Drosophila melanogaster: one gene and its partner. The protein of the gene in region 1 interacts with the protein of each later gene in a pairwise test. Each region holds a gene or a part of one and is shown on either strand. Other genes may lie near its edges.

Region 1 (7,724 bases):
GATTCACAAAGGTCCACGTTGGTCCACTGGTTCCGTAAAGGACTCCGGTTGCACGACAATCCGGCATTATCGCACATTTTTACCGCCGCTAACGCTGCTCCAGGAAAATACTTTGTTCGCCCGATTTTCATTTTGGATCCAGGAATCCTCGATTGGATGCAAGTGGGTGCCAATCGATGGCGATTCCTGCAGCAAACGCTGGAGGACTTGGATAACCAGCTTCGGAAACTTAATTCCCGTCTGTTTGTGGTGCGCGGGAAGCCCGCAGAGGTTTTTCCCCGTATTTTTAAGAGTTGGCGCGTGGAAATGCTAACTTTTGAGACAGATATCGAGCCGTACTCCGTGACCCGGGATGCTGCCGTGCAGAAGTTGGCCAAGGCAGAGGGTGTGAGAGTGGAAACTCATTGCTCCCACACGATTTATAATCCGGAATTAGTAATAGCGAAGAATCTTGGCAAGGCTCCAATTACCTATCAAAAGTTCCTGGGCATTGTGGAGCAACTAAAGGTACCTAAAGTTCTAGGGGTTCCTGAAAAGCTTAAAAACATGCCTACACCACCCAAAGATGAGGTGGAGCAAAAGGATTCGGCGGCCTATGATTGTCCTACGATGAAGCAATTAGTAAAACGCCCGGAGGAACTGGGCCCTAATAAGTTTCCGGGAGGTAAAAACATAGTTAAACTCTTGATCACAACTACAACAATGTGGATTTCTTTTTATCAAACAGGCGAAACAGAGGCACTGCGCCGCATGGAGGAATCCCTAAAGGATGAAATTTGGGTTGCCCGCTTTGAGAAGCCCAACACGGCACCCAACTCGCTGGAGCCTAGCACTACCGTACTAAGCCCTTACCTCAAATTTGGATGCCTTAGTGCCCGACTGTTCAATCAAAAGCTCAAGGAAATTATCAAACGCCAGCCGAAGCACTCGCAGCCGCCCGTTTCGCTCATTGGACAACTCATGTGGAGGGAATTTTACTACACAGTGGCGGCTGCGGAACCCAATTTCGATCGAATGTTGGGCAATGTATACTGCATGCAAATTCCGTGGCAGGAGCATCCAGATCACTTGGAGGCCTGGACACACGGACGCACAGGATATCCTTTCATCGACGCCATCATGCGTCAGCTGCGCCAGGAGGGTTGGATCCATCATCTGGCCCGGCATGCAGTGGCATGTTTCTTAACGCGCGGAGACCTCTGGATCAGTTGGGAGGAGGGACAGCGGGTGTTCGAGCAGCTGCTGCTGGATCAGGACTGGGCACTAAACGCTGGCAACTGGATGTGGCTATCTGCGTCCGCTTTCTTTCACCAGTATTTTCGCGTCTACAGTCCGGTGGCGTTTGGCAAGAAAACGGATCCCCAAGGGCACTATATCAGGAAGTATGTGCCGGAACTCTCAAAATATCCTGCTGGCTGTATTTATGAGCCCTGGAAGGCGTCGCTGGTGGATCAGCGGGCATACGGCTGCGTCCTCGGCACGGATTATCCCCACCGGATTGTTAAACACGAAGTGGTGCACAAGGAGAACATTAAGAGAATGGGCGCCGCCTACAAAGTAAATCGGGAGGTGCGCACTGGCAAGGAGGAGGAGTCGTCTTTCGAGGAGAAATCAGAAACCTCCACGTCTGGCAAGCGGAAGGTGCGAAGGGCAACCGGAAGTGCCCCTAAGCGAAAACGTTAAAACCTAAAATTTGTTCGCTACCTTATGTAAAAGGTAGTTAGATCTACGGAGTGAGCTAATATGAATTAAGGATGGAAGAATTGTTTTATGTACTATTTTAGGTATAAATCTATAAACTTCTTGATTGTTACCCTACCGAAATTTAGGTATAAAACGAGTATATAGTATTTGTTGGAATTGGAATTGGAATTGGAATGTTCGAGTTGTCAATAGGTATAAGAGGGTGACAAAAGAATATGTTTAAACGCTTGTGTACTTCACATAAAATGCACCAATAAAGATATTGATACGGCGATAGTGATTTCATTTATATTTCAATTTCAGTAATTATCAGTAACCAGTGTAGCCTGGCCTTTAACTTCCTTCACAATCGAGATTTGTCAGTTGTCGGGTTTAGCTGGGAATTTTAGTCATATCTAAAATTTCGGCAACATAAGACCTTCCAATTTTTGTTTGTAAATAAGAACGTTTTTTAAATTTAACTTCGGTTTTTGTTCTGTTGGGTAGTTAGTTTCCGCACTCGAAACACCGACAAAAACCATGTTTCGCAATCTTTCGATGCTGAGGAATCAGCTGGCGCTGCACCGTGTCCGTGTGGCCCGCTCGACCTTGCACTCCAAAATGTCTACTGGTCTTACTTGCCTCACCATTGACCGTCCGCGGAACATCGATGGCGTGACCGTGATAGATATCAATATAAATGAGATGGCCAAGACTGACGTAGAGTTTAATCGCAATTTCGTCAATTCGCTGACATTGATGGACCATACTCCATTCAAAGAGGTGACCAACATAGTGGACGCGGATGCAGTTGAGTCGCCACCAGCAGAGAATCCGATTTCTGGAGATACCGTGGAGATCCTGCCTACTGGCGCACCTAGTTCCGTCGTAGGCGTCGACGGCAACCCCATTGTCCCCATCGAGATTGATGGCTGGAACCAGGACGAGGAGGATCCCACCGTGCAAAAGAACGTCCAGGACGTGGACATTGGTAACGATGACGAGTACAAGGCCGAGATGGAGCTGCGGGTGCCGGAGGTCAGGGAAGGTCGAACCGAGTACAAGGGCATCAAGGTGACGTTGCCGGAATCGGCCAACCAGGATGTCGGCACTTATCGCTTCCGCCGCGATCCAAAGGATCTGGAGGAGGTCGGCGACGACACGCGCCTGGTTCGATACGACAAGTAGAAAAACTGGTTCCAAAATTCTTAAGGATTTTTTTGGACGACTTCCGCTTGCGACTATTCCAATTTTTTAGCGTATTCAATAGGTTTTCGGTAAAAGGAAGCACTAGCATTGATGTAATAAAAAAAAACATATTTATATGTTCAGTTAATAGAAATTTTACTTTTTTCTTTGCTTCATTAATCTGTAAACTAAAATTTAGCCTTATTGCCTGATCTAGATAGAAATGCGACCATATGGACTCGCATCCGCAATCTGCAAAATTGCAAATTTGTCCAAAGTTCGATTGACGATTATGATGCGGACATGGCCACTAAGAACTGTCAGTTGGCAACCGGTCATGCTTTAATGAAAACCCAACTAGAGACCGCGACCACTATTTTAACCCACCCATGCCACATGCCGCATGCCCCATACCCCATGCCCCGCGCCTACATCCACATCCACTCTCCATATCACAAAAGATCGCTTTGTGGTCAGTGGCAACCGAATCCGGGGCAAACACTTCCCATAAATTGCATTAAAAGCGGGCCAGGAGCGAAAACTACTCGCAACAATGCAGCCGGACATAAACACGCTGCAAAATGTTTGTAGGCTCTAAACCAAAATTGAATTTGCGGTTTTGCCTGCGGGGCGTGGCAGTGGGCGTGGGTGTGGCCGTGGGCGTAGCTGTTGGCGTAGGCATTTAGTCGGCGGCCGGTGGTGTGACAGTATCTGTGCAGGTGGGGGCCGGCCAAATAACTGTAAATGAAGCTAAAATGTGGTCAGCCGAATTGTGGATGCAATAAAAATGGCCACGGGCTCTGCGAAATGAAAGTATGGTCAACGAGATTGATTATAATCAATATTAACAGGGCCGGAAACTCGTTGCTGGAAGCTCTCGAAAGATACATATATGTGTATATATTGATATAATGCACTATCTAGATACTAGTAATACTAGCTTAGTAATAACTATACTCATCCGGATTTTCAGAGCTTTCACTTAGTTCACTAGACTGCACTTTAGTTGTTTCGCATTGTTTCGAGTTGCGTATGAGGTTTGTTTGCTTAGTTAAATTCGAAAAATTGTGGGCCAATTTAAGGGATCTTTTCTGGCGTTGGTAATACTTGAGACACCCTTTATCCTTTATCGGGACTTTGGCCATAATATCGGATATGAGGTCATCGATCGCCGTAATGCGTTCCCTAATTTTATTTTCCAATTGCAAGCGACGTTCGTCGTAGTTTTTAAATTCAGCTTTGACCTTCATTTTGTCTTCCAATCTTCTCGACTTGCTAGTTTTCTCAAGTTTGCCAATCCACTGAGAGAATTCGGGATTGCTAAGAGCTTGCAGTTTATATTTCTCCACAAGTCCCTTTAGTCGAATTGTGGCTTCGTCATTAAGCTGGCCAATTGTAGTGCCAAGTACTGCATAAATATTGCTTAAATGAGTGTCTGTCTTGGGATATCTGTACAAATGTACTATGTACTTACTGTAGCCAATATTTGCCAATAGGCATATTGCCATAAACTTCATATTGGCGGTTCGAAATGCTAACTGAAGTGAATAGCTAAAATGGGAAAGTCTACAAAGGGCAAAGCAAATCGATGGATATGCACATGCATATTAAGCATATTAAATAGATTAAGCTTAAATACTTAAGCCATGCAAAGCAACTGCGGTTAAAAAAACCTTATCACACAAATTCAAACAAATATTCAACAGGCTTGCCCATAATTAATTAAGCTTGAATTATTCCAAAGTATTTCAATCAAAAGCGATATTTTATTTGATTTGGTTAAACATATTTATCATAAGTAGTCAACAAAGTAAGGGTCACCAAGCCTGCCGTCATCCAATCCATGAGGGCATCTTACACTATTTTGGTAGAGAACCTGTTGTTTTCTTTCATTGGAGGACTTGTAGGCACTTTCAAGTTCAGCTTCCTGATTAAGGTAGAATCGAAGACATCTCTTGCTTGCGTTTCTTATGGCAATTATGGATCTGATCGTTATCAAGCGCTCAGTAATTTGATCCTCAAGTCTTTGCCGATGCTTATTGTAGTGATTGAATTCATCGGCAACGGTGTTTACCCTTTCTATCCACTGGTAGAACTCGGGGTTTCCGGTGGATAGGTATTTGTACTTGTTTGAAATATTATGAAGCCTCCACGTCGCCAGCCTGTCCATTTCTGCTAAGGATTCACTTAGAACTGTGGAATATATTGTAATTTCCTGTCATATTAGAGGCTGATATCTCAATCTGGATCTGCAATGAACTCACCAAAGCCCAGATTCGCCAATACTAAGAGTGCTATTATCTTCATTCCGCTAACCAACAAATGCATCTGATACGGATATTTTAAATATTGTTAATTTATAAACCTAAAATAATATATAAAGGAGTGTAGAAAACCCATTCGTCAAGCTTTGCGATTGACTTTTTACACTCTTAAAAAAAAAATGTGCAACAAATGCTAGGTAAACAAGACTTGAAGCCATATGCATTTTTAAACCAATTCGATACAAACATGTCATATTAATGCTCGCTTAATAACTTATAGATATAAGCCTCATTTTCAGTAATACCCATGGAAATAGACTTGTGTACTCGGAAAAACTGACTGCCACCAGTTTTCGTCGGAAATAATGGGGTTGGTGACATGTGGTCCATGTGCTGTTGCTGCTACTTTTAAGGGCGTCCGTCGGCTGCCGGGAAAACTTAATCCTTAAACATCCGACGCCAAAAACCAGTGCGGTTTTAAATTAAACAATATAACAAGCTCTAGTCCAGTTCCTCGACTATCTAGAGGACTAGATACCCATTTGCCAGTTGGTCGGAGTGCGAACAAGAATTTTCAACCATTTTTTGGTATATTGGCAGAGTAGGTGTTCGATAAAGGTTAACCAAAAGCGACCTTTTATTTGATTTCATTGGACAATTTTATGATCAATAGCCTAGATAGTAATCATAATCATATCCTTGTATCTCCGGTGGTGCAGAGCATTCCCTCATATTTCTCATATACACCTCTTCTTTTCTCTTATTTGAGAACTTGTAGGCATTCTTAAGTTCATTTTCCTGATGCTGGCTAGGGATTAGGGATCTGAGCGTGTTCAAGCGCTGAGTAATGTTATCTTCAAGCAATTGGCGTTGCTTATCGTATATTTTGAAGTAACCTTCTGTGTCCAAGCTTTAAGGCAGCAACGTTGTTTACTTTTTCAATCCACCGGGAGAACTCCGCGTTTCCGGTGGCTAAGTATTTATACTTGTTTACAATATTTCGAAGTCTCCACGTCGCCAGCCTGTCGTGTTCTTCATATTCCCTACTACTTAGGGCTGTGAAATGTATTGTAATTTCCTGTCATATTAGAGGCTGATATCTGAATCTGGGGCTGCAATGAACTAACCACAGCTCAGATTCGCTAATACTAAGAGGGATATTTTCTTCATTCCGCTAACCAGCAATGTCTACTGATACGGTTATTTAAAATATTATTTATTTATAGAGCTAAAATAACAAATAAAAAAGTGTTGCCATTCGGCAATCTGATAATTGTATGCAGTTGACTTTTTACATTCTTAAAAGAAATGTGTGCGCATTCCGCGCACATTAAGGACTTAATATATATAAATAGAAATAAAATATATGAATAATGTAGAAAATAACTAAGTTAAATAATGAAGTACAAATAAAGAATAATTATATTAATGAGTAAATAAGTAGTAAAGCGAAGCAATTGAAATTTAAATATTTGAGAGCGCCCGCCCGCAAGCACTGGCGGCTGGTCACACTGTTCCGAGTAGGCTGGGCACGCTAATCCAGGCAAATGCCACGCAGCCGACGGGCACACTAACCCAGCAGGTGCTTTTACGAAGTGGGCGACTGCCGGGTTATTAAGCAAGGCACTTCACAGCTCGGTTAATAGATCACGTCGTCTCTCTTTCGCTTTTAGCGCACCTTAAACGGGTTCCCAAGTGATCTCTCACTCTCTCTCTCTCTCTCTCACTCTCTCTTGTCGCTGATCTTAAAACGGTTTTCCAAGTAATCTTTCTCTCTTGTGAAGCACCTTCAACGTTTTCTCAAGCGATCTCGCCTTCTTCTCTGACATCACGGAAATTGGTTTGGAGCTAAGACAGGATCCGAGAAATTTCTCCGTGGTCATGTCAGAGGTGGCCTCTAGATGTATAGACTTCGTACTGAAGCTTACGAATACGCATACATAGCCTATAGTAATTTGACAGCCGCTACTCTTAGAGTAGGACCCGTTCCGAGAAGTAGGTGCGCACTATACGGACTACGTAGGCTGGCACCACTAAGGCGGTTAGTGCATCTAGGATCCGGTCCCACATCATCTGGTGCATCCGAAAGCGTAGACCGCTACTACAACCACTCTTTTGACAGCATCCACCGTGGATCGCGCTTTCCTGAAACCAAACTGGAACCGTGAGAGGTCTCCTGCGTCTGAGATAGCCCTCTCCACACCAACGCACACCAGTTTGGAGCTTGCACACCAGGAGCTTGCCATTTCCATCGATGAGGCATATCGGGGGGACCATGAAGGCTCCTCGGGTGGCTTCCCTGGTTTTGTGCGGAGCAGCAGTTTTTGGTTCTTTCAACAGGTTGGGAAGACGTCTTTAGTCATGCACTTGGTGAACGCCTTTGCAAAAGTGGGCTAGCTGGAGGGAGAGCGCTAGCCGAAGCGCCCTGTTGCGAATTCCGTCGAGCCCGGGGCCTTGCCGTCCATCAGTAGCTTCGCCAACTCCAGGATCTCCTCCCTGCTGACCGTGGCGTCTGCTTCGACGTGGCCATCTTTGGCTGGGTCAGCGGGACATAACCCGTCCATCAACTAAAACAGATGCTCCAATACA
Region 2 (6,033 bases), on another chromosome or scaffold:
AGATCATTGTTTCCCTTTGTACTGATCAACAGTGTGTAACTCTCAAATTAATTCATTGCAGGATTCTGGCCAGGACATCACCAACCGCGTATTCCAAGGATGCGGTAGGCCAAAGTTGAAGAAAATGAAACGGTCCATCAGCCCCAAACTGCAAGGAGTTCAAATCCTCAACGCAAGGAGTCCTGTGGAGGCCGATACTCTGGACATTGATGAAACGTTGGACGAGGCGATTGTGCTGAGAGAACGCAGAGCTGCTGAGCCCGGCTCACAGGAGACATCGGCGCAACAGTCTCAAGAGCAAGGAGTTGGAAAGAGTGGAAATGGAGGAGGAGGCGGTGGCGGTAACAACAGGCGGCAACAGCAACGTCGAAAGCAGCAGCAACAGCGACGCAAACAGCAAAACAATCGCGACGACAACGATGACGATGACAATGAGAGCGGAGGTGGACGTGAACCGATTCTGGACAGGATCGTGAGGGACATTCGCCAGCGAGTGAAGGACTACAAAAAGTTCTGGTCCAATCTGCCGCACTCGGTTTGTAGCAACGAGGATATAGCCTCCAGTTCCGATGTGGACGGCATGTGCTGGAATGGTCACACAATTGATAGGTAGGCGGAAAAAACTAAATAAAATTAGCACAGCTATCTTAAACATATTATATTTTTCAGATACATGCACTCAATCACCACAGAACACGGCTCGAATCCGGAGTTTACAGGCAATCCTGCCAGTACTAAGCAAACAGCTCAAATGGCCTCTCAACTAAGTCATCTGAAGAATGCCATTGTCCACCTTCGAAATGCCTACAACGGCCAGGATGTTGAGTGGAGCGAACAAGGTAATATATGCTGGTGATTGTAATGAGTCTGTTTATAAACCATCGAATCAATCTTTTTATGTATACTTACTAACCCTTTGTTTCATTTTTGTTTTACAGAAGAACTGCCATATGCGGGTAGTGGAGCTGGTTCTGGATCCGGGTCCGAAGACGACGAGGACGATGACGAGGGCTCTGGCCTGGGACCCTTCGAACCCAGCCATAAGCCGGACGTGGAGCGTCCTTCGGTGGATGCAGACAACGACGATGACGAGGACGCCGGTGGACGGGGTCACATGCCCACGCACACATCTCGACCGACGAGCGGAGTGGACGACAAGAATCCGCTCATCCACACCACTCACTTCGACCAAGATCACAACGATCTGGATGAGGATCATAGGCAGCTGGATGAGGATGAGGACACGGATGCAGGCCATGACGGGGCCAATGACAATCGATCATCCGATGCCCCAGAAAAGATGACGCTGCGTCGCGCTCTGGTTGTTTATCTGCTGCCCCTTTATATGGCGTGGTTCGGTGGCGTCTGCGCCGATTTGCTGTGATTACTCAACGTGCGAAATGCAGCCAAGATGGAGCACGGCTGCATCCCCTACACCTCTCAGTCATTCATCCGTGAAGCAAAATGTTATTAGCAGAACTACATGCTACCCCTTATATACGAAATGCGAGTCCAAAATTTTATAAAAACTTTTGATAGTAGCAATCAAAACGCAATCAAGAAAATAGGTAATTTTTCGAATTTTACTCTCGTCAGGAATTTTTTCAAATTTGAATTGGATGAAATCTCACTCTAAATCTAAAATTTAATTTTTGAAAACTACCAGATATTGTAAAAATCAGAAAATGCCTGATCTAAAGCGGTTCTTTAATGAGACCCGATAGGAGAAAAAGAAATTAGTGGAGGAGAGAGAATACGTAACGAGCCCATTTTAGTTTAGTAAGCCCCCAAACGCCCCTGTTCCCCCACACTCTAAGTCTAAGTGCGAAATTGTATTTTGTAAGCCAGAGAGTGAATGAATGTAGAAGTGAGTGCGTGTATGTCGCGGAGTGAATGCTTTTACCGAGTGTGAGTGCGAGCGGAGTGCCTGTTCAATGTGATCGTTTAGCAAAAATTAACTATAAACACTTTAGCCCCTAGAGACCTAAGCGAAAAACACACCTACACCTACATATTTAATTTGTATTATATTTATGCATACGCGCATATGTAATGTAACCAGCAAATTGCCACAGCACACAATTTCAATTATCACCGAAATGAAGAGCAATAACTAATTTGTAACTGTAGTCTACTGATAAACCTAAAAACTGAAGTCTTATTTACGTTAACATGGCCATAGAAAAGCGTCCGAGCCACGGCTTTTGTAATTTTGTATCTTTCGTAGACAGCCCTGACTTTTGCCAGCCATCAAACGCATTTCAAACTAAACTGTGTACACCTACATATTTATATTTATTTTTGATTTTTTATCGGTTTTTATATATTGTATTAAAACAAATGGAAAAAGAAAAAATACAAAAACGTAACAAAAGAAAAGAACTTCCGCTTTTAATTGTGGGGATTGATTTAGAAGGTGTTTCAAAAGTTCATTAACTCATGCCCTTAAAAACCGTTACTGTTATATGGCGTTGCCAGAATTGAAAAATATTTATGTATGATACATCTTCAGCTGTAGGTTTTATGAACGCTAGAGGTCGCACATGTGCCAATGTAAAAGTCGTTTGTAAACAAATTGCCTAAAGCGCAGAGTTTCTTAACGGAAAGTTATGCTTTCTTAAATTTTAAAAAACAACTAAGCTGAAGAAGACAAGTAAACAAGAAAACAATACACAGTAAGCAAGAAAAAAAATTCTTTTTGCCACGGTTTTTATTCTAACAATTAACAATTAACAATTTTCTGCCCGTTTTCCTCGTGTATAACGTATGGAAAACCGTAGCATTAATAACAATTATACAATGGAAAATCGCATTATTGATTTCCTGTGACTTCCTTGTCTACCTCTTCAATTTCATCATCATCTACCTTTGACCCAATAGCTTCTTCATTTGCAAATTCTGAAAGTTCTTTCTCCTGGTTGTCCAACTCATCCTCCAATGTTTCCAAGTCCTCATAGGTGTCTCCATTACCTTCGTCCAAAGCAGGTAAATTCAAGCTAGCCATTGAGTTCTCCACAGATGTAAGGCGGTCCAAGAGGGTCTTCAGGCGCTTGTCGATAGACTGGAGGGCTACAAGGCTCCCTTTGGTTTTCTCTTCAGTCTTTGTTAATAGCCCGAGGTCATGTAGACTTTTTTTCGGTTTCTCCGGAGACTCCGGGGAAAGCATATCTAAAATTTTTTTTTATTTCTTCTATGATGGGAATAATTTTAGAGACTGTCAATGATCGATGTATACCTTACTTCTATATTGTCAAAATAGTTAATATTAATGACTGGCCTCCTAGATTACCAAAATTGATAAATAAATACTTATTTTATGAGTATTGATTGATTATGACTTTGAGGCGCATATATTCAGAATACAGTTCTATCTAGCTGTATGCATATATTAGAATAAGTGACCAATTTTGGTATCAATTTTTTTCCATGTACCAAAAATACTCATTCATTCATATGACCGGCAAGTGGGAGAGCGTGGAAACTCCGAGATCGTGGCCAAGCGCAAAGGTCTCGAGATCTCAGGCGACGCTCCATCCGTCGGAATATCTGGCCTGATGGCTCTCTGTGTATCTTTGGGTGCGCGGGGAGCTTGTGGTGGCTTTTTCAGTGAGCGCGCGATCGGCGTACGGTAAACAACAACTGCTGCCAACGCAACGTGAAAAATGAACTGCGGCAAAGAAAATTTCGAAACGTAAACCTGGAGCGCCCCTCTGTGCACACGAAAATATATCTGTGAGATGCGCGAATGCGAATCTTGATGCATTGCAAAAATTTTGAATTTAAATAATTACGCAAGGCGCGGCACACGTGAGTGCGGTCGTGAAATGAAATGAAATGAAAAGTGGGCGAAGCGAAAGTGGAAATTGACGTCAATTTTCCTGTGATCACTGTGATTGTGATGAGTAACCAATTATAAACAAGTGAAAGACGACAAATAGATAAGGCTATCAGCAATCTTTCGGTTCGGTATCGTTCATCCGCAGTTCCGCGTAAGTTTCATTAGGCAAAACACTAAAATTTCATAAACAAACATTTGAAATGAGAAAACTTTTTGGTTCTCCGGCCAAAGCAACGTTTGACTTTTAAAGTCAACGTCTTCTTCTAAGCTCTTTTCTTTTCATCTTTTATTTGCCCCCTTGCGCTTTCAGCTGTTCGATGGAAACCAGTTTGCCATAGACTAGCTAGCTAATGTTTCTAACGATATTTGCTTTTTGGGCCGCATCAAACCGCTGAATGTTTAGACTTCTAACTGCAACTGTTGCTGCTGGCTGAAGGTTGTTGTGTCTTACACAGTTAGGCGCACAATTAACTGACTGCGGAGCAACAGTAGTCAGCTGTGTAATCTTCTAGGGATGACTAAAAATAAACACAAGTAATTGCTAAAATAAAGAATGGAAACAAAGTTAGCACCTTCTCAAATTTATCATAGCCTGAGTATATAAAGCCAGTTGTTTCGTCGGAAAGATTTTTAGACGTATTAACATATATGTACTTGCGGTTTCTTTCAATCTAACAATATTTAGGAAGGACTCATTTAAAGGTATAAATGGTTGGATTTTATATATAACGTGGTCAACTTTATCGTATATTTAGGTTTTTGATTAAAATTTATCATGCTCTCATAACGCATAATTGAAAGGCTATTACGGGGTTTTTCAATAAAAAAAAATATAAGCAAAAAATTCGCTCATGCGAATTTGTACCACATAGCAGAGCAAGGTTTCGATCCTCGGACCTCTGGGTTATGGGCCCAGCACGCTTCCACTGCGCCACTCTGCTTGCTTGAGGCCAACAGGCCATTGAGTCGATGTAATTACAAAGGACACTTTGTTACCAATAAAAGTAAAATAGAAATGCGCTTCACAGTACAGCGTTCTAACTACTGTATGTACGCATTAACTGTTCAGTTGTTGAAACTGTATACACATTCACTGTACGATTAAAGCGTATTCTTATAGTAATACATGAACACTGCTTTGTGGATGAGCAACAACAGAGCTGTTAAGAAAGCAGTGCACTGTAAAGGGTCACAAATGTATATTCGTCGGTAACGAGGTGTTCCACTTCTCGTTTGTAATTAACTAGCCTTGAGGTCCAGTACTTCAAGCAAGCAGAGTGGCGCAGTGGAAGCGTGCTGGGCCCATAACCCAGAGGTCCGAGGATCGAAACCTTGCTCTGCTATGTGGTACAATTCGCATGAGCGAATTTTTTTATTGCGAAATTTCGATGTTTATATTTGTACATAAAATGCATTTTTGCAATTAGTAAAGAAATTTCCTAGCCAAATATAAGACGCACTGATTAAGGGATTTCTAACCTACTGCATTGTTTATCTTTATTCAGTTGTTTTAGTATAAAAGTACAAAATATGACCTAAACTACTAAGGGATTAACTACAGACTAAGGCGAAGAATTGTCCACCGCTTTGAGCACTCTCTTTATGATATTAGTAATCCTCATCGCAGAAACAACCGTCTCGCGAGTTCTCCACAATCCAGTCCAGATATTTCGTGACTCGGGTATACACTCCTGGATAATTGGGTCTAGCACAACCGTTACCCCAAGATACTATTCCAATCTGTTCGAATCGCTTGTCATCTGGGCGAAGACGTACCAGTGGACCACCAGAATCACCCTGACAACTGTCCCGCCCACCAACGCCTGGATAGCCCGAGCACATCATGTTCTTAGTGATCATTTTCTGGGTGTAGTTCGTTTGGGCGACACATTCGTCGTTGTCGAGAACGGGAACTTCAACCTCCTGCAGTAAACAGGAGGGTTTTCCATCTTCCTTGAGGGTTCCCCAGCCCGTTGCAATAGCCTTTGTGCCCACAAATAGATCCTGGCGCTGTTCCACCCGTGGCAGGCAGATTGGCCGTATAAAACTGGTGATCGGCACTCTATCGTTCAGACGTAGTAGGGCTATATCATTGTCGAAGTTCGAGAAGCTGAACTTTTGGCTAAAGGCGCGGAGCACGAAGCGCGTTTCCGGGCGCTCCTTGTCATTGCAACGATCGTGCTCCCCGAAGGTCA

The links. Proteins that work in one complex are often made in the same cells at the same time.
Region 2: the proteins of Sfp38D (region 1) and CG43121 interact in a two-hybrid assay, tested with the Drosophila melanogaster proteins (one large-scale study listed by BioGRID).

Annotation. Positions count from the first base shown.
Region 1 is NT_033779.5:20,637,604-20,645,327, reverse strand, and holds Sfp38D (seminal fluid protein 38D), read right to left. Parts: upstream 4,412-7,724; 5' UTR 4,389-4,411; coding exon 4,346-4,388; intron 4,280-4,345; coding exon 3,813-4,279; 3' UTR 3,112-3,812; downstream 1-3,111. Other genes in the region: phr6-4 ((6-4)-photolyase), read left to right, coding at 1-664, 728-1,683; CG17470 (uncharacterized protein), read left to right, coding at 2,224-2,871; CG31680 (uncharacterized protein), read right to left, coding at 4,664-5,064, 5,136-5,178.
Region 2 is NT_037436.4:14,669,235-14,675,267, forward strand, and holds CG43121 (uncharacterized protein), read right to left. Parts: upstream 3,204-6,033; 5' UTR 3,167-3,203; coding exon 2,813-3,166; 3' UTR 2,701-2,812; downstream 1-2,700. Other genes in the region: dlp (dally-like), read left to right, coding at 62-609, 670-839, 939-1,384; CG4914 (uncharacterized protein), read right to left, coding at 5,447-6,033.